2 linked regions of the Alligator mississippiensis genome follow. The protein of the gene in region 1 binds, or shares a complex with, the protein of each later gene. Links are inferred from orthologs where the notes say so. Each region holds a gene or a part of one and is shown in the gene's direction. Other genes may lie near its edges.

Region 1 (15,147 bases):
CCTTGGACCTGCCTGAGATGCATCTGTGGATGCATGACAAGGTACGGTTGCCCTTCCTGACCGCATCCCCACACTGTCAGCCCATGTTAATTTTGGCATCAATAATGACTACAAGATCCTTTTCTGCCTCTGCACTGACGAGAAGGGAGTTCCCCAGCCTATAGTTATGCTGCTGGTTCTTCCTCCCCAGGTGCAGCACCCTGCACTTGTCAGTGTTGAAACCCATCCTGTTCTTATCCGCCCACCCCTGTAACCTGTCTAGGTCCAGTTGCAGCCTATTCCTCCCTTCTAGCATGCCCACTTCTCCCCACATCTTAGTGTCATCTGAGAATTTGAACAAGGTGCTTTTTACCCCCTCATCCAAGTTGCTGATGAAGATGTTGAACAGTGCGGACCCGAGGACCAAGCCCTGGGGGACCCCGCTGCCCACATCCCTCCAGGTCGAAAATGACCCGTCCACCACCACTCTCTGGGTGCGGCCCTCCAGCCAGTTAGTGACCCATTTGACTGTGTAGGTGTCGACACCACAGTCCCCTAGTTTTAACGAGAATGTGGTGAGAGACAGTGTCGAAGGCCTTCCTAAAGTCCAGAAAGACTACATCCACTGCTACCCCTGCGTCTAAGGATTTTGTGACCTGGTCATAGAAGGCCACCAGGTTGGTCTGAAAGAACCTGCCTCTAATGAACCCATGTTGGTTGCCCCTAAGCATAATCTCCCCTGCTGGCCCTTCATGGACATGCGCCAGGATAACTCTCTCAAAAAGCTTACTCAGTACCGAGGCAAGACTGACTGGTCTATAGTTTCCTGGGTTCTCCTTCCTCCCTTTTTTGAAAATGGGAACCACATTGGCCCTTTTCCAGTCTTCTGGCACCATGCCAGAGCACCATGAGTGCTCGTAAAGCCATGGCAGGGGTCACGCAATGACCTCTGCTAATTCCCTCAGCACTCTGGGGTGGAGATTGTCAGGACCTGCTGAATTAAATATGTCCAGTCCCTCCAGAAGTTCACTGACTAGGTCCTCGCTGACCCTAGGCCTGGGTGCGCCTCCCCTGGGACCTATGGGGGTCCCAGTGGTGGGGGGTGACTTGGTCCCTGCTCAGAAAAATGAAGGCAATTCCCCTCTTTATATATTTCATTAGCCTTTTTAGCTCATAACATGTCACAAAGAGCTTGTGTTGAGGCAGCTATCTGCAAGGATGCCCAGGCCTCCTTGTAGTTAACTTCTTTCTTTCCAAGGAAAGCCTCCCATCCTATAGGACTAACCTCCTCGTTTCCAGATTACCTTGCATTTAGCTATACTGAAAGACACTGTTGGACTGTGACAGTTTTAATGAGAGTATTAATATCACTCTTACAATAATTATTTCCCCTCATTATTTACTAATCTAACAATCCTTGTGCTATCTGCAAATTTTGCCTCCAAAGAATTTATCATTTATGTATTTTATTAATACAAATACAGAAAAGCATTGCATCAAGATTTGATTCCTCTCATTGAGGTCTCTCAGTTAACAATTACAAATTAAGATTTGTTGTGAAGCCAGTTCCAGCATTGGTATATAAACAACAAGAAAAATGTTCCTAATGTGCATCTTATGCAACCCGTGTAGCAGTTTGTAGGCCTACATTGAACTAGCTGATAAATAATTGGGGGGGGGCGTTTAAAATAGAACTGTTCTAAGTAAGCTTTTTTTCAAAGTAATGTATGAGTTCAGCATATAGCTTGCTCGTTTGAGGCTACTTTTTTCTGCACGAGACTTAGTCGCAACTGCTGGACAGGTTTCTTTAGATATGCCCGAAAAGATGGAGAGAGAATACCAAGTTTGCAGCATTTCAGTGAGAAACACCACTTACTTAACTTGTGTGGATCTCCAGGACATGTAGAATATAAATTAAAGCATAATAAAAGCCTTTCAGTTGTAAGACACCTGAATGCTTTGTAGTTTTGTGGCTCTTTAGAATTCACACGTCTCACTGTTTCTGTATTTTTGATCTTTGATATGATTCTGACACTTCAAAGTAGATTATTTGAAATGCAGAAACTTAAAGCCCAAATTATGCAAGTATAGTTTGACAGCTTCATTGTTATGTTTTGATAGTTTTATTCTAGTTCTATTTTTTAAAAGCATGCCTTTAACAGTTTTCTTTTGACTTTCAGGTGTGCTTTCCAGTTTTCACACACTAGCAAAGTCTGTTGTTATGGTCCACTGATCAAAAATAATGCCAATCCTGACTGTTAGTCTGTGGTGTTTTGTGTAAAGCCTGGTTTGTGTTTATCTTTTGGAAAGCCCGGTTTGTGTGTTATCCATGTGAGAAAACAACCCTGTGATGTACTACATGGTACCACGGTCTCTTTTAATCACCCTTCTATATAGTATTAAGGGAGATGCTTTCTGATTATTATCATTGACTTGCTTTCAATTCAGTTATTCACAAAGCAACACCATAAATGTCAGCACCTTAGAAGTCAGCATCTGTATCCGTATTGAATTCATGTCTACAAAATACTGTTTGGGCTCATGCCTTTTTCTTTCTTTTTTTTTTAAGTTCTGCTTCAGGACTCACCCATATTTGTTTAACAACATATCCTATGCTGTGTTTGCTTTGGATACTGAATCAGATCTTATTTCAACAAGCTTAGGTCACCAGTACGGGAAGTGCTGTGGGACCAGGGACTGAAGACGAACGCCAGGTAGAATATAGGATGAGCACAGTAGGAATAATCACCTTCCTACTATTGCCATAGAATTGGTGTATGATGAATTAAAAAAATTAGACATATATGAGTCATTGGGACTGGCTCTTCATCCAAGAGTGCTGAAGGAGCTGGCCAAAGTCATTGTGGAACCCCTGGCGAAACTCTTCCACAACTGGTGGTGCTCTGGAGAAGTCCCTGAGGACTGGAAGAGGGCCAGTGTTGTACCCATCCACAAGAAGGGCAGGAGGAAGGACACAGGTAACCATAGGCCAATCAGCCTAACTTCCATCCTAGGGAAAATCCTAGAAAAGGTCATCAAGGAGTCGTCTATCTGAGATAAGCTTGCAGAAAGTAAGATTCTGAATGACAAGCCAACATGACTTCCATCACAGGCAGGTCTTGCCTTACCAACCTCATCTTCTATGACCAGGTAACTCGCCACCTGGACATGAGAAAGCAGGTTGACATTGTATACGTAGACTTCCAACAGGCCTTTGATCTAGTATCCTACCATGTCCTCATGAGAAAATTGGAGGATTGTGGGCTTAACTCCAAGACAGTCAGGTGGGTGAGAAACTGTCCTCAGGATAGGACCCAGAGAGTCGTAGTGAATGGATCTGTGTCATCCTGGTGAGTAGTGGGCAGCAGTGTCCCACAGGGGTTGGTACTTGGTCCAGTACTTTTCAACATCTTTATTAATGATTGGATGTGGGTGTGAAGAGCTCACTGGCCAAGTTCACGGACAACACCAAGTTATGGAGAAATGTGGTCACTCTTGAAGATGGGCTACAGATGCAGGCAGACCTACACAGACTAGCAAATTGGGCGGATTGGAATCTGATGAAGTTCAGTGTCAATAAATGTAAAGTGCTCCACCTTGGGATGAGCAACCCCCAGCACACCTACAGGCTTGGCAGCACCAAACTGATTAGCAGCACGAATGGAAGGGACCTGGGGGTAATAATAGACCACAGTATGAATATAAACCGGCAGTGCAGTGCTGTAGCCAATAGGGCAACCAGCACTCTGGCATGCATCAATCGTTGCATTTCCAGCAAAATCAAGGAGGTGATTCTTCCACTGTATTTGGCACTGGTGAGACCGCAGCTGGAGTACTGCATCCAGTTCTGGGCACTATACTTTAACAAGACATGGACAAGCTTGAGAGAGTCCAAAGAAGAACCACTTGTATGATCCATCTTACACAGGAAGCCATACGAGGAAAGGCTGAGGGATCTAGGACTCTTCAGCTTGAAGAAAAGAAGGCTGAGAGGGGACTTGCTAGCAGCTTACCGCTACATTAGGGGAGTATATCAAGGGCTTGGTGAGCAACTGTTCACCAGGGCACCCAAGGGGAAAACCAGGAGTAATGGCCACAAACTCCTGGAAGACCAATTCAGGCTCAGCATTAGGAAAAACTTCACAGTTGGGGTGTCCAGACTGTAGAATAAGCTCCCTCCAGAGGTGGTGCAATCACTTACCTTGGAAATCTTCAAGAGAAGACAAGATGGTTACCTGACCCCCAGTTATCGTTCCTGCTTGGTGCAGAGGGCTGAACCCAGTGGCCTTGCAAGGTCCCTTCTGACCTTACAATCTATGAGTCTGAAAGCTAGAGGAAAGATATTAATGGACTTTAGTTTGGGTTGGATCCTTCTTAAGGGTCCCTTTACTAAGGATAAAAAAGAAAACCACAAGAGGAAAAAGAACCCGTATAAAAATATAGCGCACGTACTGGGTAGCCGAACATGCATTGTACAATTTCAGTTTAAAGGAAATCTTTTAATATAAAAGAGTTTAAATGAGCATTTATTGAGAGTTTTTACTGGTTCTTTGCAATAGAATATGAGATTTTTACTTCAGATTAGACAGATGATTCATTGCTGTTCTGAAGTCACTTTACTAGTTAGTCATGAAATTACAGATTGATTTATATGGCCATGAGCTTTTTACAGAAGTTTTTCACTGTACTGCTTTCATCATCTCTTGCAGATTTGTTAAGACTTCATGATCATGTTCTTCTTTGGTCCTTAGTATCTCCTTATAGACTATTTGAAATTCTAAAGAAACAAGAAGGCTTTGACTTGACCCACATAATATTACATTTCTAATGCTCATTAGGTGATCTTACTCTTTTTCTGCTTAACCTTGTTTTGTTTTGTTCAATGTGTTCTGGACCTTGGCATTCTCAGTAATTGTATTTTACTTCATTATACCTAATTATTAGTCTGAGGAAGGAACATACTAACCTGTGAACCTGGCAAAGTTGATTGGATGTTGCACAAATTAGGATATTGATTTTCTTTGTTTTGTCTGGTAGAGCTTTTGTCATTTCAATAGGGAAAAGTAAGCCTTTTTAAAAAAAAATAATTGCATTAAAACAATTACTGGACAGTAGAGATGCTCCCACTAGCATAATCATGCAGTTGTCTTGAGTAAGTGTCTAATCAGTGCTATTCTGAAGTTGAACTATTTTCAGCATTCATAAAACACCTCCTTTTCTTTTTCTTTTTTTATTAATTTGCCACAATACAGCTCTCTGGCTGCTTTAATTTACCACAGTAAATATGGTATGTGCATTAAAACAAGCAAAAACTATCTTGTGTTTTTCCTTTGGAAAGCCTGGTTTGTCTTCTCGTTTATAATGTTACAACTTTGGTCTCCTTCGTTGTATTGAAACCAGGTATAGTTGTTTGCAGTATTGTGTCCTGGATTACAGTGACAATAAGGATTAATTCTGAGAAGGCTTCATAGGTAAAGAAGAATGATTTTAAGCAATTACAATCTATTAACATGTAATTATAAAGAAAATTTGTTTTAACAGAATATATTCAAATAGCAGAATAAAAGTTTGTGTGCTCTGTGTTCCCCAAGAGATAAGTGTCTTTCTGAGTGACATCTTCACTAGCCCTGACCGTGGTATTTTATTCTAGGTCATATTATCACAAAGGCAATTATTCATGTGTTAATTGGTTTGATTATTGTCATCCTGTTTCTGTTCTCCCTAAACCTTTAGGGTTTGTCTGTGCTTTAGAAGGGCCTCTATGGCTTTAGCTATTCCAGCATCACTAAGGGCTCTCCTGACATAGCTAATGCTGAGAATATGCCATAGTGTTTTTTCTGTTGGGGTTGCATCATCTTCCTAAATGACATATTAAGCCAAGGGTAAGCATCCTGCTGTCAGCACAACTGCATTGGATGTTGTACAAACTACAGTTTTGCCAGTGTACCTGAGTCAGTTAGGCTGTGTGGTTTATTTTGTGCTCCTCCCTGACTCAGATAAACTTGCAATGCTTGTGTAATATAGACTTGACTTTAGTCTCTAAATATGAGTAAGGCCCTATCAGTCTTCTGTTCAAGCCAGGTCTTGACTAAAAAGTTTTGTCACTATAATTACATCAGCTAAGAGTGTGAAATAAGTCACTCCTTTTAGCTGCTAGCAAACCCTGTGTTTTAGATACAGCTATGCTGGTCAGAGTGCTTTGTCAGTTTAATTTCAGAAAAGTGGTGTGGCCTTTCTGGCAGGAAAACATGTCAGCGTATGCTGTGTCTCCACTAGGGTGTAGTGCTATATAACTAGGGGTCTACCTAACTTGAGGAGGCGGCTGGCTGATTTTCTTGGGCAAATCCCAAGGCCGGCTGCCATTTTCTCAGGCTGTGGGCAGTAGGGCCTTGGGATTTGCCCAAGAAAATCAGCCATGCTTCTAGCTGAAGGGTCTCAGTGGTCCCATCCGTCACTGCTGATAGTTGCAAGGGCTGTCTGTCACTTGGCCTTGCTCCTTGCCACTGATTTGTTGTCAGGGCTGTCCGTCATGCACCCTTGCCCTTCGGTACCAATTGGTGGAAAGGGGTGGGGCCTCATGACAGGCAGCCATTTTGCCAGCAGTCCTTCTTGCCAGGAGCCTCCCTCCCCACTTCCCACCTGGTTTGCTGCCTACCACAAGGACTGCTGGCTCCCCCAGGGGACCATGCAGGCAATCCCCCCTGGGGAGCCAGCATTATATTTTCAGTGAAGTATTTTTTTTTTTGTTTATTGGGTTTGGTTTGGTTTAGTTTTGTTTTGCAGTGACTCTGCTGTGTTTTTAAAAAGCCCACCATTTTTTGCGGAGCTGGCTAAAATCTGCAGTTTCTGCAGAAATTGTGCAATTACAGACACAGTAGGTCCCTGTATATAACTGTTCCAGCAGAGTTCCAGATAGACGTCACGCTTAGACTGTTTTAAATGCTGTTTAAACTGCAAGCGTCCAGATGTTCAAGCCTATTTAGAATGTTGTAAAGCTCCTGGAACGTTTCAAAAGTATGCCTGGATAATCAGGTGTTATTTTGAAATGGTCCTTTAACTTGTTCAGTGTTGTGAGAGGGGTGAGGACAAAAAGGGGTTAAAAGACAAGCTTACCTTGCCAGAGGGGTGCTGGAGCAGCCAGGTGAGCAGCTGGAACCAGAAAGGACATGACACCTCACCCCCTTTTCAAGAAGCAGCTCACCTGCACATGGGCAGGCTCAGCAGTTAAAAGGGGCAAGAACAGCAGTTCAAGGAGGGCAAGAGAAAGATGAAGGGGTTAGGTTTGGTTGATCTGGTTGTAGTGGATGGATGCAGGGATTGGTACAGAGCCCAGGGGGAGACAGAGCAGAAACCTTCCCGTGGCCCCATGGATTAAATGAGAGTGTTCTGGAGCAGGAGGCAGCGTACAGAGTTAGTACAGGAGCAAGAATCTGCTTCCTAAAGCTTGTTACCAGAAGGTAAACAGAGAGGATATCTGAAACCAAGTAGCAAAGAAGTGGTAAGTGGGCTTCAGGGCACAGGCACTTCTAGCTAAAAAAACAAACCAGATAGGAATTAACCCTTGCCTGCCTAGTTCTTTAGGTTTCAGTACCTAGCACTTTACATTGCCCCTAGCACTCAGCTAGATACGGTGGCACAGGTGCATCTGGTAAGTTATGAGTTAGATTATAGTTTGTTACACTTTAAGATTCAATGGGAATGTGTAATATTGATAAAGCCATGTGCAGTTTAGATGAGGCTGAGATGCAGTAGTCACAAATCTGGGGTACTTGATGTGAAGAAGGGAGGCTGTCCAGTAAAGTGTGACAGACAGGGGAGTGGTCTGAAGAAAACAGGATTGTGATGGTTTAGACAAGCAATTTATCAGACAAGACATTAAACATCAAGGTGGCATAAGGCTGGGGTGTCAGGGGTGGCAGAGCCCCAGAATCTTATACCGGAAGGAAATTCACTGGTCTCCAGATCCAGGGAATTAAAAGGGGGGCTGTGACTGGACTGAACACCTCCACATAAAGCTTTGAATCTGTTTGAATGTAACATTTAAACCACATTAAGTGTGCTGTATTTAATTTTTTTTCCCTAATCAAACATTTCAGTTCAAATACTTGTTACTATTGAGACATAAAATTAACGTGGGGGTACTTTTTTAGTTTTGTTTACTAAATATAAGTCAAATAAGCATGCTATATCAGATTGTGCTCTATTTAGGGCTTTGGAAATTTTTCCAATTCAAAATGTTCTGGAAAACCCACATATCTGCCCCTGTTTTTGCATTCCCAGGGAGCCATCCAAGATCTCTGCAATTTTTAAGCAACACTTTTCCCAAGCCACTGGTCAAATGCTTGCAATGCCGGCAACTTACATGGAGACCTTCAGCAGTGCACCCAGGAACCCTGAAGCACCTGGCCAACCCTCCTCCCCCACCCCAAATCAGCCTGGGATGCCCCAAAGCCTGGTCAGTTGCCACAAATGCAATGAAACCGATAAGCAGCTTGTGGGGAAATGTGTTTAAAAGCAGAAACTTTGGGGAGTCCTCAGAATACCCAGCTCCCTAGGAATCCACAAGCAGGGGTCTAGGCACTTTCCCACCTGACCACCTGGAGGTAACGTTTCTTAAGGGAGTAGGCTAAGCCAGAGACCTTGAGCAGCACTCTGGAGTACCCTTCCCCCCAGGAAGGGAGAAGCAGAGGTCCAGGTAGACCTGCCCCTCCCCAACTATCTGGTCAGCCCTTCACCTCCTAAACAGCCTGTGATACATTACCACAAATTGAAGAAAATTGATGAGTGGCCTGTAAGAAAGTGCTCTTTGCAAGCCACAAAAGCTCTGACAATCCAGAGCACCCAGCTCTCAGGAACCAGAAGCAGGGGTCAGGCAGCTTCTCCTCCCTCTCCTCTCCCCCCCCCCCCCCCAACCCTTCCACGCACATATCTAGGCACCTCTAGTCAGGGTACTACCATGAAGATTTTGGTACAGCACAGGGAATGGTCTTTACTGAACTCGGTGTTAGTGAGAAGGAGGATCAGTGAATTGCAATTGTGGGCCATTCATACAGTCTTCCTTCTCTGCTCAGGAAATATTGGGGAAACTGGGCCACTTGCTACTAAGGCATGCTAAGCTGGATATTCACTGTCACCCCCTGGTGATAGTTTGACAACACTGCAATATCTGAAAAGTGGCTCCTATTTAGGAACCTTGGCGGTGTGTGTATGGACACCTCTAAACCGCGACAGTTGTGAACCAGTTCCCAATCAGTGACATTCTTAAAACTGTTCAAGTGTTATGTTTGTCGCCCCCTCAGAGGTCTCCCATTGCAGACAAATGCTAAATCACCTTCACTCTTTTTCTGTCCTAGTAAGTATTTGTCAGTTGTGTTTCTGACCGTCTGAACTTCCCTTGACCCTGCACCATCTTTCAGCTTTGTAATTTTTTATCTGCTTGCCTTCTCTGCTTGCTATACAGCTCTAACGTTAGCATTCTTCTTTTCTTTGTGCCTGCCTGATCCAGCTAGGCCTCTTTGCCTTCTTCCAAAACAATAAGTGAGTTCACCTCTTTCTCTTACCTCACTGTTTAGCTGTTTGCTCTTGTTATATTGACTTCTTTGCTTCATTCTTCACAGAAAAATACACTGCCATGAAACTAGAAAAAGTAATATAAAGAAATAGGGGGAAAGGATACAAATAATGAATTAACAGTGCATCTAAGAACTTCTGAACAATTTAAAAGACTTCAAACCAGTAGGGCCTAATGGATTTCACCAAGGGTCCTGAAATGATTAGCTGAAGAAATTCTTAAAGCCACTGGTAGTATTATTTACAAACTTATGGTACTAATTGAGGTTCTAGAGGATTAGAGAAGTTATGAATATTAAAAAGTGGAAAAAGGAGGACCTGGTAAAATAATAGTCTGGTTAACCTGATTTTGATATTTTGGACCAGGGCTGTCCAACTGGCAGCCTGTAAGGGGTTAAACTGTGGCCCCTGGGCTCCCACCCAGCTACTGCTACCCCCTATGCTCTGACTGCAAGAGCAGCCAGGGTCTTCAGGTTCCTTCTCCCTCCTGGTGCCATCCCAGGGATTGCACTGATGCAGCATGGCCCACCCGGCAGTGCTAAGAGCATGGTGCAGCAGGAAAGCCCACAACTAGGGAGCTGAGGGTGAGGTGGGGTGCCTGGTGTAGTGTGCAGGGAAGGGGGTGAGACTTAATTTATTCTTTACTATGGTTTTCAGAGAAAATATGCTTATCATTTGATTTTCTGTCATTCGTAGGGTAACTAACCAAAGAGCAATGGAGTATGCAAACTCCTATAAAGAACTAATTACGTGACTTCTGATTAAACATAATTTGCAGTAATCTTGTTGCATATCAGAAACAACTGACAAATTTTAATGCTAAAATCATGTCTGTCTTGAGCTTAATGTTATAACCATGACATTGCTTTGACATAATGGAACAGTAAGTAGCAAGAATACTTCTATGATCCTTAAAGGGTAGTAGGAACATTCTCTTATCTTTTCAGGAATTATCCCAAAAGTCTTGTTCCGCTGGATTACTTCACTGGATCAGTTCTTTTAAGCAGGAAACCATTGATGGGCACTTAATAACCTATGGAGTTGTAGACTACACTGTTTTTTAAACCTGTCTTCTAGGAATAAATTATTGCTGATACCTTGAGACACTATCATGAAAGTCGTGTTCATTTCTCGAAGAAAAGTAATTAGAGGTGCACCAATTAAGCTTTTTTGGACCAATACCTGTGTTGATTATTGACTAGCCATATTGGCCAACACCGGTCAGTTTGGCAATATGCATCGGAGAGCAGCATCTGGCTGGTAAGTCTGTTCGAAAGAAGGGGTGTGGGGGAGGGAAGAAGAGTGGGAGGAGTAGATCGAGCTCCCCATGGTAAGGGAGGGGCTGTGGCAGGCATGGCCTGGCTGGGTGTGGTGCTGCTGATCCAGGAGAGGAGGGTGGCTTCTGCCACTGCACATACCCCAGGTGAGGTGAGGCATGGGGGGGCATGTGCCCCCCCAGATCTGTGCTCAGGGTGTGCAGGGGTGGGGCAGTCAGTGGTGGCACTGGGACAGGGCTACTGGGGAGGGCTACAACCACTCCAAAATTCACCATAGCTCCCCCATAGTCCTCCCTCACAGCGCCATCACTTCCCAGCCCGAGCACAGCATCTGGCCTGAGCGCACAGCAGGCAGCCCACCCTTGCCCCATACACAGATCAGGGGGGCATGTGCCCCCCATACCTCTCCCCTGCAGCCGTCAGACAAGCTGCTCATGACTTCACTCTGCGTCCCACCCTGGCTGAGCAGCACCTGCCCCAGCCCCATTCCCTCCCTCCATGGGATCCTTGATCTGCTTTCCCCATGCCCCTTCCCTCCCCTCCCCCGTCCCTTCCCCACCACACTTACCAGCCAGGTGCTGCTCTCCAAGCTACCAGGCTGTATTCTTGGCCCCATGCATGCTGCAGCTGTACACATGCACGCAGCGTTTATTAGCAGTATAATCAGCCAAAAGAAGCTGATTGCCGATAATGTCAATTTAATGCACATTAAGCAATTTTTGCCAGGTGTCTGCACATACAGAGACTTGGGACTAAAGTTAGTACCAAGTCACTGCAGCCCTGCCATGTACCCCTACTGGTGTCTACACATGCATTAATGCGCTTTAACTAATCACACCTAAATTTGCTACCTGCATTTGCAGCCAAAGCATTGGGGGTAGCAGTAGCTGGGTATCAAATTTGCAGGTATCAAATTTAGGCGCGATTAGCCTAATTTCACCATTTTAATACGCATTAAGAGCATACATGTGTAGACATGTGTCCATAATGTGCATTAAATTAAGCTAATGCACATTAACGTGTCTCCTGTAGACACGCCTTTAGTCTAGCAGATTTAACACAACTTCGGGTTTTTTTATTTTTGTTTTATCTGAAGAATATCTGGAAATTTTTTGAATGAACCAACATAGCTTTTTTGATCTTGGTAGAATTAGTAAATCTGGCAGTTACAGAAACAAACTTTATTTTACATGTAAACTGAGAGGGTATCTTTCAGTTACTCCAGATTATAATAAAACAGACTCTTAGTCTACAGATGTAACCACAAGCCCAGTTTACAATCTTTAAAGTCATACTATATCTGTTGTTTGCTTATTTACTGACATGGTTTGAGAATTCTGTCTTAGGGAGCTGTTATTTATATGTTTATCTATAAAGTTTGTTGGGGGTCTTAAACTTAATTTTATTTTAATGTTTCCTGTTAGAAGCCCCTTTTCTGTTTGCCTATAACTGTACCAAACTTAAACCATTTGTGCTGACATTTTCCAGGTTTGATAGTTTTATATTGGTTTCAGATTATGAGGTCAGAGAAAATATAGTGTATTTTTGGTATTAAAAAATGTTCAGCATTTTAAGAGTTCCAGAGTCATGGTTTGAGTCTTTTCTCTTTTAAATCTGCTGTTTTTTTTGCAAAAAAATGTATATGGACAGAGTCAGGTACAGTATGACAGTCTCCTGAAATCAAATGAAATGTCAACTGAAGAACAGTAAGAATCAGTGGAATGGCCCTAAGATATGCACTGTGTACATCCTTTATCTCTAACATAGTACTTTATTGTTGCTCCACAGAAAATCCGTATCCCCTGCATATTCACTGTGTTCTGATAGTTTGTTCAGACCCTGAGATACCTCAGGCCTGACTTACTGACCACTTGTTATTCCCACTGACTTAGATTGGAGTTGTGGGTGCTCAGCATTTCCTAAAACCAGGCCTGACAGGTCTGTCTCGACCAGGTGATCACATAGGAAATACCCATGGTCACATAGCAAATAATGTGTCATTCTGGGGTAGAACCTAGAAAAGAAAACACAGTTTACTCTTTAGATAAGTTTTTTTGGATATACAGTAAAATCCCTCTTATCCGGCATTCTGCAAGCCAGAATATTCTATTTAACCAGTATTTCCGGCTGGACCTGGGGAGGTGGGGAGAAGCTTGCACACATTGGCCATTGCCCCCACCACCCTGCGCTGCCGCTGTTCTGCATGTGGTTGCCACTACCCCCTCCCCCTCCACTCTGTGTTATCTGCCTTAGATAACTGGAATTTTTACATAACTGGCACCCAGCATTCCCCACTCATGTCAGATAATGGGGATTTTACTGTATATGGTAATTTTGAGTTTTACTACACAATTTCAAAAGATCTGAGAAATAGCATAAATGTTGTGGAATACTACCAGTTATCCTTAAAATAGGGGGCTCTAGTAGTTGTGAGGAATACACACCCTCCCACTAGGACCTATTGTCTCATGTTGTGTTTATACAGGACTTAGCACAGTGGGATTGAAGTCTGTGACTGGGCAATATATGTAATAATACTTCATAAGCAATGTATGACAGTATTGTTCAGTCAAGATTTCATTGTATTAACTAAAATGAGTGTGGACAAAAATATCCAGCCACAGTATTGTGGTACTGGCAATGATAGTAACAGTGAGAAACAACTTTTACTGCTCTCTGAGACTGAATTAGCTGATATACTAGTGTACTTTTAGAGTACTTTCAAAATTAATTCTGAATAATAAAATATTGCTTTAAAAAGTAGTTGGGCTGTACTTGTACACTAGACTGTACTTTTCAGGTTGTGGACCTCTCTGTTTGCATACCTGAGTATTTTTTTGTTTAAAAAACTTCTGTTGTTTCTTCTAAAATGTTTTATATTACAAAAGAGGATTTTAAAAGGTACATTTTTAAACCAATTTCAATTAAATAATCAAATAACAGATTAAGCATGTCAGATTGATCAGACGCACAGAAATTACTACTGGATGTTAATGAAGAGGAGAAAATATGATTTCTCAAATAACATTTAAAGCTGCTTTTTTTATCTTTCTCTGTCCTAGATGGCCAAGCTGGTCGCTGTCCCTTGTGCTCTGGCATGTACATCTATTAGTGTATATGCTGCAACAGAAGAAGGATCAAAAACCCACCCAATAAAGCCAAATCAGGTGAGATTCTTATTGCTGCTGCTTTTTTTTTTTTTTTTAAACAATAACTAGAAGTATTTGAAAACTACCAAGGCTTCCCTTTGAATGATGTTACACAGCAAACAAAATTATTTAACTACGAGTGATACGGAGTTATACAAAAGTAGGCCTGGAAGGGATTTCACAAGGTTATCTAGTCCAGACCCCTGTTCAAGGCAGAATCATTCCTAACTAAACTATCCCAGCTAAGCGTGTCCAGCCTGTTCTTGAAAATTTCCAACAATGGGCATTTCACAACTTTTCTAAGAAGACTTTTCTAATGTTTGACCACCCTAGAGTCGGAAAGGTTCTCTGAAAGTCTAATGTAAATTTTATTCTGCTACAGCTTGAGGCCATTGCTCCTAGTCACAGCCACAGACAAAAGTGCATCTTCATCCTCTCTATAATCTCCCTTTAGACATTTGAATGCTGTTATCAAATTCCCCCTTAGTCTTCTGTTCTCCAGGCTAAATAATCTCAGCTCTTCCAAAATTGACTTATAAGTCATGCTTCCCAGACCTCTAATCGTTCTTGCTGCTGTTCACTGGACTCTTTCCAATTTGTCCACATCTTTAATGAAACGAGGGGCCCAAAACTAGACCCAGTACTCCACACCATGCCTCACCAGTGCAGAATAGAGTGGAAGAATCACTTCCCTTGATTTGCAAGAGACACTTCTGGTATTGTAGTTCAGTATACTATTGGCCTTTTGCAACAAGAGCAGTTAGCTCATATCAGTTGATGGTTCTCTGTAATACCCAGATCTTTTTCTGCAGTACCACATCCTAGCCAGTCATTCCTCAGTCTGTATTTGTATATGCAATTGTTCACCTGAAAGGCAGGACTTTGCACTTGTCCTTATTGAATTTTATTCATTTGACTTCAGATCATTTCTCCAGTTCATCAGGGTCATTCTAAATCTTAACCCTACCCTCCAGAGAGTCTGCAACTGGTGCCCTCTGCAAATTTTCCAAGTGTATACTCAATCCCAAACTTCAAATCATTAATTAAGGTATTAAACAATATTGAACCCAGGATAAACCTCTGGGGAACCCCACTTAATACCTCTTCCCAACTAGGCATCAATCCATTGATAACTGCTGATTGAGCATGATGGTCCAACAAGTTATATATCC
Region 2 (14,759 bases), on another chromosome or scaffold:
GCGCAGGCTGCTGGCGTTAACGATGCAGCCAGAGCTGGGACGCAGGGGGCCAGGGCCTGGCTGCCGGCTGGAGACGGGGCACTGGGTTTTATTGCCCCTGGGGGCCATTCAGCTGCTCCCTGCTGTAGGGACTCAGGGGGGTTTTTGGGGTGGGGTTGAAAATGTTTCGTGTCCCAAGTCCGATCAGCCAAATCTGTTCCAAAATCCATGCGAATCCTTCAGGAGCCCTGCTACCGGCAAGCATCCTCCACCCCCGATACTTCCAAATCCTTTGGCGGGCATCCGACGTGCAAGCCCAAGCCTGGAGACGTGGGGTTTGGACACCCCCGAGTTTTGCTTGCCCTCAGCCGTATGGCCGCAGGAGCAAGCTAGGGAGGAGTCTCCTATTCCCTTAAAGCCGGCGTGTAGCTGAGATCCTCCCACTGGAAGTCGAAGTGGGAGGCTAACTATGAGGAAGTCCTGTCTGCAAGCAGACCCGGGTGCAACCCTCCACTACACAGTGCTTTTTTAATTGCATTACCTCGGTCAGGGTACTGCCCCCTGCCGTGGTCGTGGTTTTCCCCCGCCAGTAGGAAAACCATGTTGGTGGTTGTGGGATTTCCCTGGGCAGAGCTGGGGTTTTCCCCTCTGCAACTCCCGCCAGCATCCCCTGCACTGTGAGGACGGGCTCCTCTTGGCTTGCCTTGGTGACGGGGAGCAAGTCCCTGAAAGACCACCTTGCTCCTTCCTCCTCCTGCACCCACTCAGAGTGGTTTCCCTTCCCCTCCTGCACACAGCTCTTCTTTGCAGACACCTGGCAGCTCATCTCCACGCTGGGGACTGAGCGGGGCATGAGATAGCATGATCGATGCTTGCCCCTCCAGAATGAACCATGTACCCAGCCACATACCAGTGGGCCCGTGCATGCTAGGTGCCCCCCTGCTGCCGCTCCACGTGCATTTCCTGCAGTTGCACATCTGCTCCATGTGTGGCCGTGCAAGACCTTTGCACGCGCAGGCTGCAGGTCCAGGAAGGCGGCACAGGCCTGCTCAGTGGGGGTCCCTGCGCTCTGATCCTGAACACACCGGCACGTCCTGAAACCTGCAAAATTAACTGTGCGCCAAGGCAGAACCTCTCCCCTCTACACCGTCCCCAGGATATGCTCGCCGTGGTTGTTGGACAGCTTGAGAGCAGGTCATTTCACCTCTGTTCCCAACAGACTTAGATGAAGGTGTAATTCGGGTCCACAACTGTGCATCCCCCAGGTGGATCTGGCAGGGGAGACATTTCCGATGGGTCGAGGAGTGGCACAGCTGGGCTCAGAGCTTATTTTCCCGGCATGGATCTGCTTTGGTGGTATATAATCCAGCTTGTGAAGGTGCTGGGCAGCTGTGGGGATAACAGGACTGGCCCAGGAAAGCTGGGCTGGATTCCCAGCCCTGCCACAGACATCCTCCATCACCTTGGCCATGTCCATTAACCTCTCTGGCACTCAGCGAAACATAAGGGTAATAACCTTCCTTTTGTCTGTTTTGGCTGCGAGCTCTTTGGGGCTGGTGCAGACTTACTGCGGGTGCTGCATTTTGTGATGCATAAGGTACACCCCGCAAAAAGGGGAAAAAGGATGAAACTGGGGGGGGAGAATATTTAACCGTAAACGTGTCATAAAAATGGACTGAAATTTAGTGATTTTTCATCGCATCATGGCATAAGATGTGTCTTAATGTAGACCTCCATTTTCAGCACAAAGCACGTGTCATATACATCAGATAATATGGTATGTACAGCACTTAGCACGGTGGTGCCCTGATCTCCACTAACACCTCTAGCTGACTGCCATACCAGCGGCACTATCATGAGACAGGTCCTGAGTGGCATCCTACAGCCCACCCCCACTTGTTGAATGCCAAGAGGATGCAATGGGGAATGCATTGGGATTGACTCCAGCACAACCTGGCTCAGGTGGAAACAGCCCCTTTATTGGAGAGGGGTGGCATGACCACTGGCTCCCAGTCCAGTCGCTGGGACATGGGGATGATGAGGCTTGCAGCTGCAGTGCCAGGGCAAGGTGAGGAGCAGGGAGCCGATGCTTTCCATGCCACGCAGGTGAGCTGGTGCCGGCTGCTGGATGCTGCCACCTCGTGGTGGCTGGGCAGCCCCGACTTGCACAAGGAGCCCCTGCTATTCAGAAATGCTGGGGGTCACTGGTGGTTGCGGGTGCTCGGCCCTTCTGCTGTCTGCTTGTCATGTCCTGATCCTTTAAATCCCCAATGGGATTTGGATCTGTCCCTGGCAGCTTGGGGTGGAGGGTGGTATTGGCTTGGGCACAGGCCTGGGAGAATCCTCCTGCTCCTCTGTGGCATGGAAGGGTGTTTTGGGTCCTCTGCATCCCTGCTGCCACCCCAAGACAGCCCCACATTTCAGGGCAGTGTTCCCAAAGGGGATCCCCGGAGGAGGGGGAAGACAAGGGTGGATGGAGCTTGCTCAGGGCCTGAAACGGGCCAAGTACCCACCTTAGAAGGTGAGTGTGTCCCTCCTGTTGCCTCTGCTGGACTGGCCTGAACCCCTGTCCCAGAGCCTGGCTCGACCCTTCGGGAAGGGGCTGGAAGAGGGCTCAGAGCCTGATCCCATGAGGCTGGGGGCTGTCGGCAAGGTGGAGACAGGAGTGGGAGGGAGGTCTCCTTCCTGCGTGAGGGGAGCAGTGGATTCTGTCCCCAGGTGCGAGAGGCTGGAGGCTGGAGTTGAGGAGAGCCTCGGCTATATGCCAGACAGCAGAGGTGGGATTGTGGGAGGCTGAGGCTGAGACAGAACTGACCTTTGGGCCCAGGGGGGGGATGCAGAGAGGGAGCAGAAGGGGCTCAGCTGTCCAGGGAAGGGGTCACAGCTAGCATGAGGGTTGGACGCTCGGCCCCCGACACGTTCCCATTTCAAGGTCCTGATCCTGGTCCTGCCGAAGCCTGTGACTGAGCTTGGGCCTGATGGAAGCAGAAGGCCCAGCGCCTGGGTGGGCAGGGGCCGGGAGTGTTGGCTCTGCACTGCTCAGGCACTGGTGTAGTTATAGAAGCTCTGTACCACCCAGTCCCAGTGGCTGGGGAACCAGCCCCGCACGTAGCACAGGGGCTCCAGCCACCAGGGGTAGAATGCTTCCCGCGCCCGCGTGGCACCACCACGGAGGATGGCGAGCGCAGCTTCGGTGGCAGGGAGGGCATCCATGTACACGAGGCCCCTGAAAGGGAACAGTCGCTCAGTCATTCACCCTCCCATGGCTGGCACTGCCCTTCTCAGTGCAAGCTGGTGCGTCACAGCAGCCGAAAGGTCTAGACTAGCCCAGGGCTGTACACATCACACGCAGGCCTACAGATATCCATGCACATGCACTCCTGCATGCATGGATGCAAACAGCCTGGAGCACGCATTGTATGGAGGCACGTGCATAAGCCCAGATGTGAATGCAACGTGTTGTCTTGCATATCACCCACGTGGCTTTAGACATGTTCATGCATGCACACGCATGGACAGAAGTGCCCTGCATGGACCTAAATCCTGTTGCAGCTACATGTACACACCTTGTCTTCTCCAGTGCCATCTCTGTGTCGATCAGCCCCAGGACGCAGAGAGTGATGCTCATGTCTTTCTTCTGCATGGCGAGCTCATGGCGCAAGGAACTAAAGAACCCATCCAGGGCAAATTTGGTGGCAGAGTAGGAAGTGGCGAAGGGGGTTGCGATTTTCCCTAGGAAGAAAAAACGAGAGAAGGGGAAACCCAGAGAAAATTGGGTCTGAGTATGAGGCCCTGCTGGGAGAGGAGCCAGGGAAGGGAGGATGATCTGAGCTACATCGACCCACTGCTCCAGCTGGACAGGCTTCCCATCTCCAGCAGAGGCAGTGTGAGACGGTTCCCTTCCAAAAAATGCACCAGGGGAAAGTACTCCTTCCTGACCCCGCATAGCCACTGAATAACCTAATATTTGGCCTCTCACTCCAGAGATGGCTGTCTTTTAGCCGTGTCCTTGACAGCCCATGTGAAGTGCTGTGGGGGTCAGCAGCCCAGACAAGCTCTAGCAAGGGGCAGTCAGACTCTGAATCGAATGACTGTGGCAACACTGGTTGCGGACCGTGAGGAAGCACAGCATGCCGGGAAGTGCAGCCCTCCTGGATCGTGCTTTGTGGAGGTCACAAACTCACCTGAGATGGAGGTCACCACAACCACGGAGCCTTTGCTCTCCATCAGGACCGGAAGCGCAGCCATCGCCAGGGCCACGTAACTAAGGAAATTCACCTGTGGAGGCAGGAGAGGGGGCATGAGAAGAATGAGAAAGTCACCGTTCCAAATCTACACCCCTCCTGAGCTTACCTGTAATGTGAATTTACAGGTAACTCTTGGCCTAAGTTTCCCCCTGAAGTTGGGGTGTCGCCCCTTGCTACCCCTCTCTATCCCCAGCCCCCAGCTTCCACTTCCACATTAATAAAAGATTCAAGCCTTCTCATTACCATGTCTCAGCAACCCCATAAGTCTGCCCCTCTGGGGTCCTAAAACCTGACCTCAGGAGGACTCCACAGAAAGGCCCAGCATGGACAGGCATGGTGCAAGAGCCAAGGCCCTGTAACACAACATCAGTCAGGTCCTACAGCAGCACATACCTTGGCAATGAGACGGACAGACAAGGGCAATGCTCTAATCAGTTCAGCTCTCTACCTGCAGGCTTTCAGACCCCTCCTCCCCCTTTCCCTCCAGTCAGGAGCAAAGCATCACAGGCTTTTTTGTTTCACCCTTTCTGGAGCCAGAGGGCACAACTGCAGCCCTGCCAGAAGCCAGCGGCTCCTGGGAGCTGCCCCCAGCTTGATCCCCGCAGGGGCCAAGCCTCTCTGCCCCTCTCCTCCACCCCCAAAGGACTCCTACCCTAAGAAAACCCACCTGCAGAAGCCAGCGGGTGTGCTCCACGTCCCCATCCCACATCTGTAAAGGGGTCGCACCAATGTGGTTCAGCACCAGGTAATCCAGGCCCCCTGCAGGCAAGGGGGCAGTGAGAGTTGAGTAAAGCACCCCCCACAAGTCAGGCAGCCAGGGGCTGCGAATTGCAGCACAGAGGCACACTTGGGGCTTCACAGGCCAGATAAAATGGCCTGGATCTGGCCCACAAGCCGTAGGTTGCCAATCCCTGCCACTGCTTTTCCCCCCTTACACATGCACAGCAAGAACGGTTGGCTCTGACCAGCTGAGCTCACAATACACAGTCTGGGTCCTGCTTCATGCTGCCAGTCCAAACTCTCCTCTTCTACGCACACATCCCTGACCAAGATGGGGAAACAGAGGCACCGTGCTCCTGCGGTGAGGAGGGCTGAATAGATACCCAGAGAGATGGAGGGGAGTGCAGAACGAACCACGATAACCTGCGGGTCAGGCAGGGCACCCAGGAAAGCTGACGCTGCACATCTGGCTCTCACCCATGCAGACCGGCTTCATGAGTGCAAGATGCAGCAATGCACAGCCCGTGGAAAAGGAGGTGCAGCAATGCACCCCCCCTCCCCGGACCCAAGCTCATGGTGAATTGAAGCAGATGCTTAAAGGGAACCGCAGAGTAAAGGCAGTTTGGTGGGGATCACTGCCGTCAGCTTCTCCGAGCACCTTTGACCCCGTGTCACCTCCTTGCCCACACAGCCGCCATGGGGACAGTGCTCTGCTCTCAGCTGGGTTGGATCTCTGGGATCTGACTCACTGAGACCCCACCCTGCTGGTTCCTCCTCCCCAGCATCAGTTGCTTTTCTTCTAACAGACCAATACCTACCCATCTTTTGCACAGCGAACTGCATCACCCGCTCGGGCTCCGCAGGGGAGATCATATCAGCCGGGATGTAGAAGACCTTCTTGGCTCCCAGCTGCAGACATTTCTCCGTCACCTGGAGAAATGACCCAGATAAACCAATTGAAGTACATTATCAGGGCAGGGGCAGGGAGCTTATTTCCTACTCACCTCCCTCTTTTCTTGCCTGGGTCAAGGATGAACAGAGACACACTTTTTCCATCCAAATTTATAATCACACAACCTACAGGGGACCAAATTCTGCTGATGCACTCAAGTCTTGTTTACAAGGGGGAAATTAACTGGAAAAGTTCTCTGTGCGGACACTCGCAATCTGCTTTCCAAGTGGATTAATCTTAAAAGAAAAAAACCTCTCTTATTCTGGAATAATCATGCCAACATGGAGAGCTATTCTGGAATAGCTGGTAAACTGGAAATCCATCCTTTTCCTTCAGCTGGAATACTTTTCAAGCGTAGACAAGCCTGAAGGAGCCAGGTCCTTTGACGCCGTCACAGCACTGTTTGACATGGAGGAATGAGTCAGGGGTTGAAATGTGATGCTAGGCCTTGGGCTTGTGACCCCCTGCCCTAGAGCAGAATTGAGCTCGGAGCTGTCGAGATGAACGTTACACCATTCACACAACCTCAGGGGCATTTGCTCTCAATGTTGCTCCACCTTGTTCTTCAGAGAAGCCTGCTATGAATGTCCAACCTGCTCCAATGACCCTGCACAGGTCAGGTTCCCTCCTAGATCATCTCTCCCACCATGCATCCAAATCTGATGAGGGAAGTGGTGCATCCTAGGAGTCAGATGGTGGTGCTGCCTGAGAGGTGTGAATGTGGCTGGGCAGCTCACCCATACCAGTTTGATGGAAAATGTCTGACCTGCCCTACATCCTCATTGTTTTTAGGTCCACGTCATCAGCCCTGCTGCCCTCTACCATGTGAAGGAGGTCTCACCTTCTGCAGCACAGCTTCCCTCCTGGCTGTCAGCACTATTTCGGCACCAAATCTGGAATAATGATAAGCCATCTGCTCTCCAATCCCAGCGCTGGCACCCGTCAGGAGCACGCGGGCGCCGGAGATGGTTTCTGCAGGGTGGAAAGAGGAGTAGCAATGACTGAGGGGTTCAGACCAGTGGCCACAAGTCTCTGTGCTTCTCCAGAGCCAACCAAGATTCAGGATTGGGCTGGAAAACCCAGTCTGGGTGGGAAATAACATGGGAACGCTGGTCCGGCAAGGGCGGGGAGACCCTTCTCCTTCCGAGTGGCACCTGGAAAGACAAAGTCTAGCTCTGACCGAAATTTTGGATCAGTCCCTGGGTCACGTGAAACCCTATCCCACTATAGCTGCCGGGCAGATTTGACTCCCCTATCTCGCTGCAGTCGAGACGCCTCCTTTTGTTGTGACCAATTTGCTGAATCATTACGCCTCCTGTTCCTAATGAGGCCATCCCTTGCAGACATGTGCAACCAGCAGCCAGAGCTCCCAAACCCTCCTACCACTGACCCGCACCACCTCTGCCTGCCTACAGTGCTGCCACCCCCCTGCCTCCTCCTCCGCCGTGTTTCCACTTGTTTTCACAGGTCTCCCAGCTCCCATCTGCCGCCGGCTACAAGGAGAAGCAGTCCCGGAGAAGCAGACGACTCTCTCCAGATGAGAACGCCGCAAACCACCATTTCAAAACTCAGCCTTTTTTTCTCCCCCGACAGCTTCTGGCTCTCGTGCTTTCCTTTCTGGGCCTACCTGGGTTAAAGATGTCTCTCCAGAACAAAGCCAGGAGCCCGGCGGCAATCCCAGCTGCCCACAGCGCCTTCCATCTTGCAGACATTTCCCCTGCGGCGCCAGACGACAATGCAAGGGCGAAGCCTCAAGGCTGAGTCCCGTCCCAGCGCTGTTCACCTCTGCCCCTGAGGACAGAGGACAAAGTCTGGGCCCACCGCTCCCTCGTGCAGGCAGCAGGGAGACCCTTCGGGTTGCTGATTTACCTGGAGGAGACAGCTCTGCCAGGGGACCAGGTTGCAAAGCAGCTGCAGTTCCACTGAGCCGGGAGATGGGAGCTGCACAACCCTGAAAACAGAGATAAAAAGGAGCAGGGCCATGATGCTCCTGACTGACTGATGATACCCAGGGCCGAGCATCCTCTAGGAGGAACAATGCCCTGCTATTGCAGAGACATGGGAACTTCATCCTGTCCCCCCCCCCGCGGTGTTTGGCCTTCTGCAGGCTCGTTAGGGCCGGATTTCGGTGGCACTTGGGTCAACCCAGTCAAAGCCCGTGTCAGGGTTACAACAGCCTCTCTCTCGCTGCCTTGGCTGCATGGTTTGGATGAGGCGCCTCGTCAAAAGATGAAGGGAAATCACAGAGCGAGGAGCAAAGTCTTGCGACGGTCGGCGCAAGCAAGCTCCCCACGACCAAAACCTCGTTACCTCGGTCTCTAGGGAGACGAGGCTGCAGCCCGTCCGTGACCCGGACCTTCCTTGCAAGCTTAGACGCAGAATTAGGATACGGCTACAATTCCCCTTCATTTTTATCACCGCTCAGTCAGGGGGGAAATAAAGGACTGGCACCAAATCTTCTTGAATGCAGAGTTTCTCTCCTTTTGCTTCAGCCCAACATCGACAGATGACTTATTTTAATAGTCTAATCGTTGTTCTCCGATTGGTTTTATTCAGATGTTTTTGTTTCACGCCAGTTTAAGGAACTGAACTGAACCAGCTCTCGCGGCCGTGGAAAGAGTCGGTCAGTTGGGATGGATGCGCCTGCGCGAGTCCCACGCACGCCTGGAGGGGACGATCCCTTCGCAGTATTTATATTTCCAAGTGGCAAGCCTGCTTGATTTGTATGACTCATCTAAGAAACAATGCAGATATCCACTAGGAGACATTTAATTACACTAATCATTACAAGCCAGAGTGATGATACAGTGTATGTATATCTAATTTTGGGTGATATATTCTGTACAATCTGCATGCCCCCCCACCCATGCTGTTTCCTCCTGGGTCCTGCCCAGCCCCACCTCGCAGAGGCTGCTGGGACAGCTCTCCCCCAGACGGGGATCACGTGACCCCACCCCAACCCGGAAGCCAGGCCGCTGCCATGCCAGCTATTGAGGCGGAAGTGCGCGCTGCGGCTGGGGCGGGGCCGCGCCTCGGCAACAATGGCGGCTTGGCCACGTGACTGCAGCCGGCGACTACAAGTCCCGGGGGGCTGTGCGGCGAGCCGGCCGGGCCGGGCGTGGAGGAGTCGGTGCAGGCGGGCGGGCGGCGGCGCGCTGCCCTTGGGCTGCGGTCATGGCGTCGCGGATCTTCCCTGTCGTCAAGTGAGTGCGGCTCGCCGACCTCCCCCGGCTGGGGGTGCACGGGGCCGGGCACACGCGTCCTCGGGGGGTCCAAGGGGGCGCCCATGGCTAGGGAACGCACGTGTCGGCGGGCACGTGACTAAGGAACACGCATGTCTGGTGGGTGCAGGTGTGATTGGGGAACACGTGTGCTTGGGGGGGTGTGCCCATGTGTATGGGGGGGGTGCAGGTGTGATTGGGGAACACGTGTGCCCTGGGGGGGTGCAGGTGTGCCCTGGGGGGTGGCACATGTGACCAGGGACACGGTGCCCTGGGCTGGGGGGGAGGGAGCGGCCCGTGTCCCCTGGAGAGCGGGGGCTACTTCAACAGCACCTGGAGCCACGCGAGACCCACCCCGATGCCGTCTCTGACGGCTTCCCTCCCAGGTTCATGGTCAAGGGCAGCCTGGCCGGCGGCGCGGTGTACGTGGCGTACGACCAGGGCCTGCTGGGAAGCGGCCAGCAAGGCGCCGAAGCCCTCCGCAAGGCGCAGGCGGCGCTGCCTCCAGCCATCAAGGAATGGACGAACTACGTCGGCTGGGAGGTGAGGACGGCGCAGGCGGCTGGGGGGGCGCCGCAGGGAGCCCCTCGCTGGAGGGGGAAGGAAGCAGAATTCGGGTTCTCCCGCGGCATCGTTTTGCCGCCGACTTCAGCGGAGTCGGGATTTCACCTTGGAAGGAAAAGGGATTGTGCGCTCGTTTCTTCTCTCCCTCCACGGGTCTTATTGGAGGTGGGGTGCGCAAGAAACAGTTTGCGGAGGACAGGAGAGGAGCGTGAACATGCCGTGTGAGACAGTTTCTAACCCCCTTGGGGGTACACGAGACACAGGCAGGGGTATGTGGGTACCCCAACACTCTCACCCTCTCTTCTTCTCTTGCCCCTTCCACCTCTCAAAACTATGGCCAAAAATTTGGTGCCCTGCACATTTGCACGGTGCTTTAAATTCCCCAGTAATAATTTGGCATGCCACGCTTTGCATAGCACTGGATTCAGCCCTTCAAACTTCGGCCAACATCGCCTCTAGCCCAGGCACATGCTTGAGTGGTGCACCCCTGGTGTAAAAGGTGTGCAACCCTGCACACACCAGATCAGACATCTATCATATCACAGCCTTATAGACACAGCCCTTCTTCCAACATATAGCACACATTAGTCTGAAAATATAAAATCCCCTGGAAAATTGAGTGTTGAGGTACTTATTAAATTTTTCAGAAGTTAGGGGGTACTTGCTACTTAAAAGGTTGAGAAACACTGATCTGGGAGGTGTTTTTATGATAAGTAATGCTCCTGACCCCTTGTTGGAAAGCCTCTAAATCAGAGGTTCCCAGCCACTGGGCCGCGGCCGTGAAAGGTTGGCTGCCAGGTCGTGGCACGAGCCCCCCTCTCGGACACCAATCTGTCCACCCCAGCAGCAGTCGCAGCTGGGTGCCAGGGCAGCCCCAAGAGGGAGACTGCTAGCTCTGGCTCCATCCCGCTCCGCAGTATGAGACAGGTTGGGAACCATTGCTCTAAAAACTACCGAATGGATCCACCCTCAAAGACCCACTCCTGCCCTGCTGCTTCCTGTTAATAACATGGTCTATAAATTGCTTGCGGTAGTTTTCCCTTGGCCTGGCTCTGACTCCCTAGATTGGAAAATCTGCTGTGCAGGGACAGTGTTTCCTGGACTAGGAAAGCCCTAGTGCCATAAATCGAGATATAACCATAATAAACCAAGTCCTGGTAAAATTTAACAGTGATATTTTTAAAAGCAGCCAAGTGGATTCAGATCTAAATCATTTTGGTGCACTTTTAAAATGCTGCCTACTGCCCCAGTCTTACAAATGGGCCAGTAAGAGAGAAGGTAAGAGCCCAGGTTTCTTTTCTGTGCCCCATGGAATTGAAGAGGGAGTTAGGTGCCCAAATACCTTTAACAATCGGGGCCTGAGGGCCTTGTTCAGCATGACCTGGGAAGCCTGGTGGTGCCTGTTCTGCTCTTTCCTCTCTTAGCATGTTGCTTAGCGGCTTTGTATGTAGCTAGCGGGCCAGACATTGAGGTTTTGCCTCTTGTTTTCTCTTTCAGCTTCCATCTACTCCAAAATTTGACTTTTCTGTCTCTGAATCCTGGAACAAAGGTAAGGCTTCTGCTTTTTTGCTGCAGAAGGGGGCTGCTGTCACTGATGTAACTTATCCAACAATCCTATTGTGAGGACTTGGCGAGAGCTAGTGCATGGAGCACTGGATTAGGATTTGGGAGACCTGGCTCTGCCACTGACCTTCAAGGTGGCCTTGGGTGGATCTCTTTACAACTCAGTTCCTCAGTTTCCTTGCCTGTAAAGTGGGGATAATATTGGCCACCTTTTATTCAAAAGTGCTTTAAAATCTACTGATAAAAATGCCATGTTGAAGGCAGGTGGCCTTTTTGCAGCTAGTAACCCAAGTACAGAAGCACTCGTAGAATTGGCAACAAAGCATGATAGTGCTGAGCTGCTCTTTAGGAGGTCATCAATTAAAAATTGAGGAGTTCTATAAAATCCTTCAAGTGCTAGTACAATCAGTGGGACTCGGCATCTAACCTGCTGTGATGGTCTGAAAATGTAAGATGGTTCCCGTTATTATTGGGACTTCTCCAAATAATACAGTGCCCTTCTCCAGCCTTTTTGATCTGATCATTGCTAACATATGTGGAAAACATCTAGAAAATGAACTCAACCTGCTTCTCATTTTCCAGAAGGAGAGACTGTGGGCAAGTTGCTTACCGTTTGCAGGCCTGAGTTGCACAGCAAGTCTGTGTCAGACCCAGGAATAAAATACAGAGTATCCAGGCCTGTGCTGTAACCATGAAGTCTCCCTTCCTTCAGACCCCTTTAATATCCTAGACAGAAAGGAGTGAAAGGGACCACAAGAGGACATCTCATCCAGCCCCCCTGCTCAATGCAGGGGCTGAATTGCCCCAAACATTTGCCAAACCTACACTTACAAGCTTCCAAGGACAAAGGTTACACCACTCCCCTGGCTAGTGGGCTAGGTAGTGGTGGTGGGGAGGACCCACTGACTACTGATGAGACCGTAACAACTGCACCAGAATCAGGAATTATTCAGGCCTAGACTTGACTGAAGATTCCCTTGATATAAGCCAAGATCTCTGGTATTATGTTTAAACGGGGAAGGGCGTGTGACCCACGATATCACATTATTGGTGGTACAGCATGCTTTGTTAATGCTTTTCTCAGGACTCCCCTCCATGTCTCTTTTTTCTTGCAGGAGTTCACACTGCCATGTCGGCTCTGTCTGTAGCTCCCACCAGGGCTCGTGAATACACCCAGAAAGGCTGGAAGTATGTGAAGGACCTTGCTAAATGAACACTCTCCAGGGCTTGCTGCGTCTCCGAGATGATGCATAGCACGCGCCTCTGAGGGGCAGCTCAGCCACGCAAGGGCTACAATAAAAGACTTTGGAACTTCCCTTTGCATTCGGGTCAGTGTCGGCACGTAGGCTCAGCCACGGGGGCTAGGAGCCACAGTGGGGACAGGGCCTGATTGGGGTGAGTTCTGCCTAGACCGGTGCATTCAACCGCTGTTATAAAGTTTACCATTATAAAGCAGGTCTTTCAGTATTGTACAAGTGTAAACCAAAACCCTACAACACCTAACCAGCCCAACAGACATACTAAAAGATATGGTCCAAGGACAAAGCCCAGTACAAATAATCAGAGTTTCAGCAACTGCAAGGAGACGAGGAACATTTTTCTATCTTAAGCTAAACCCACTGGACTGACTGCTATCTCTGACCTATCATCCCATCCTTTATAATCCCCAACACTGATTTAATGCCAATCTTGTGTCCCCTTTGAATCCACTGATTGCGTAGCCTTATTCAAATCTACCTAGATTTTGGTCTCAGTAACTTCAATGAGACCTTGACTAATACAGCCTTGTTTCCACGTAGTATATAGGCAGCGCCATCAGACCTGCCTTTAGCCAAGGAAAGAAATGCTGCCTCTTATGAAAGGTGTCTTGAATTCTTTTTGGAAACATGTGAAGGGTGATACAGGAAATGATTTGAAGCAGGAAAGGTTAATCACTTTGCTGATGGAGACCAGCTTCTGAGATAGAAGGTATATCTACAATTCAGGCACTGTGGCTTGCAGAGACCTACTTAAGCTAGTTTTAAAACTAACTAGCTTGGGTACCAGTGGCTGGCTAGCTGTAAAAGCTAGAGTCTGGAGTAATTATTCTTGGAGCATTTACCTATCTTGGGTGGGTGTTGCGGCCTGCCTTCCATGTGGCTGCAGCTATGCTGACAAAAGTACCCCAACTCGGGAGTTTAATGCCAGCACCTGTATCTCTATACAAGCTGCAGGGTGAACATCAATTTTGTCCACACCTGGGCAGAAAGCCGAGCTGCAAAGAGCTGAAGCAAAAGTCACACAGCAGATCTGGCAGTGGGAGGACTAACCTTACACGGAAGCATTTGTGGCTCCTATTGTGCTCTACTATGCGGAGGGCAGAACCCAGGAATCTTGGATCCCAAGAGCTGGTTTTTCAGCAGAAGTTGCTGGGGCCAAGTCCAGTCCCTTCTTTTACGTGCCTGTCATGAGCTGAGACCTCTTGGAAAATCCACTCGCGAGGGGGTCTGCGAGTACTGCTGGATCTGGATGCTTTGCTATATGATAGTCTCATACTCCCGGTGCGTGGTTTCCATGTAGAACTCCTCGTGTTCATGGTATATTAACATCCGTCTGTGCTGAGGCTGCTGGCTGGCTGAGGCCTCCCTGACTGTGCTCTTTGTGTCTTTCTCTTCTAAGTAAAAAAGAAACCAAACCAAACCACTATCAGCAGTGATTCTTCTGTAGGAGTTGGGATGAGCTCCTAGCTGTCACACCCAGAGCGGTATCTCTGGTGTCCCTGCCCCAGGGGTCAGAGACTGAGAGCAATCCATTGTGAAAATGAGCTCAGTATCTGGGTGCTAAGGGTGTTTGGAGCAGGGTATTTAACTTGGGTAAAACTACACAAGGTTCCTAGTTGGCTTTGGCAGGGCATCATGTCTGGTGGCTTCTCTGGCCCCAGGGGCTTGGTGTGGGCCTGGTACTCAAACCTGGTGGCTGCTGGGTCTTGCTCAGATGGTCAAGGCTAGACAAGTCACCAGACTTGAAGTCGGGGAGCAGGTTCCCTGGGGCAGATTAATAAGGACCTGTGGGGGATTCTGCCTTTGCTGCAGCAAGGGGCCTAATACAAGCCTGAGGTCGCTGGTGATGTGGAGTAAGAGACAGAGGTTGGGGGTTAATGGAGGAAACAGGCATGATCAGCTAGTTACCAAGACACCTATGATGTTTCATCCCTAGATTTCCTATGGGTGTGACTTGGGCTCCGCTTTCCTTTCCCCAAGAGACAGATGGATGCTTTGAGTGGCAATTCCCATGGCTCCCCCAGAGCGAGTAACCTAGCAAATTTCCACTTTGTCTACTGGACAGAACTGGGGAAGGTGCTGGCTGTGCTGGCCCACGTCCCTCGGCGTTCCCCAGAGCAGAAGCTGAAACTCCCTAGGGCAGCAGGAACTGGATGGGGTAAGGGAGGAGTTATTTGAAACCTCCACTTACCTGTTTCACTATCAAGGGTCCTTCCAAAGAGGAAGACGGTGCCAGCCATCATTGCCGCCAAAG

Evidence for each region.
Region 2: APOOL (region 1) and MICOS13 share a complex: the UniProt entries of both Homo sapiens proteins name them as parts of the mitochondrial contact site and cristae organizing system (MICOS) complex. The link is inferred for Alligator mississippiensis from reciprocal best matches to the Homo sapiens genes APOOL and MICOS13.

What each region holds. Positions count from the first base shown.
Region 1 is NC_081831.1:56,200,206-56,215,352, reverse strand, and holds the start of APOOL (MICOS complex subunit MIC27), read left to right. Parts: upstream 1-8,276; 5' UTR 8,277-8,317; coding exon 8,318-8,434; intron 8,435-13,888; coding exon 13,889-13,993; intron 13,994-15,147. UniProt on the Homo sapiens protein: Component of the MICOS complex, a large protein complex of the mitochondrial inner membrane that plays crucial roles in the maintenance of crista junctions, inner membrane architecture, and formation of contact sites to the outer membrane.
Region 2 is NC_081839.1:4,000,928-4,015,686, forward strand, and holds MICOS13 (MICOS complex subunit MIC13), read left to right. Parts: upstream 1-8,999; 5' UTR 9,000-9,072; coding exon 9,073-9,101; intron 9,102-9,505; coding exon 9,506-9,662; intron 9,663-11,180; coding exon 11,181-11,232; intron 11,233-12,361; coding exon 12,362-12,459; 3' UTR 12,460-12,561; downstream 12,562-14,759. Other genes in the region: HSD11B1L (hydroxysteroid 11-beta-dehydrogenase 1-like protein), read right to left, coding at 3,019-3,205, 3,546-3,711, 4,164-4,257, 4,894-4,985, 5,765-5,876, 6,740-6,870, 7,526-7,610; disintegrin and metalloproteinase domain-containing protein 10, read right to left, coding at 13,763-13,899, 14,697-14,759. UniProt on the Homo sapiens protein: Component of the MICOS complex, a large protein complex of the mitochondrial inner membrane that plays crucial roles in the maintenance of crista junctions, inner membrane architecture, and formation of contact sites to the outer membrane.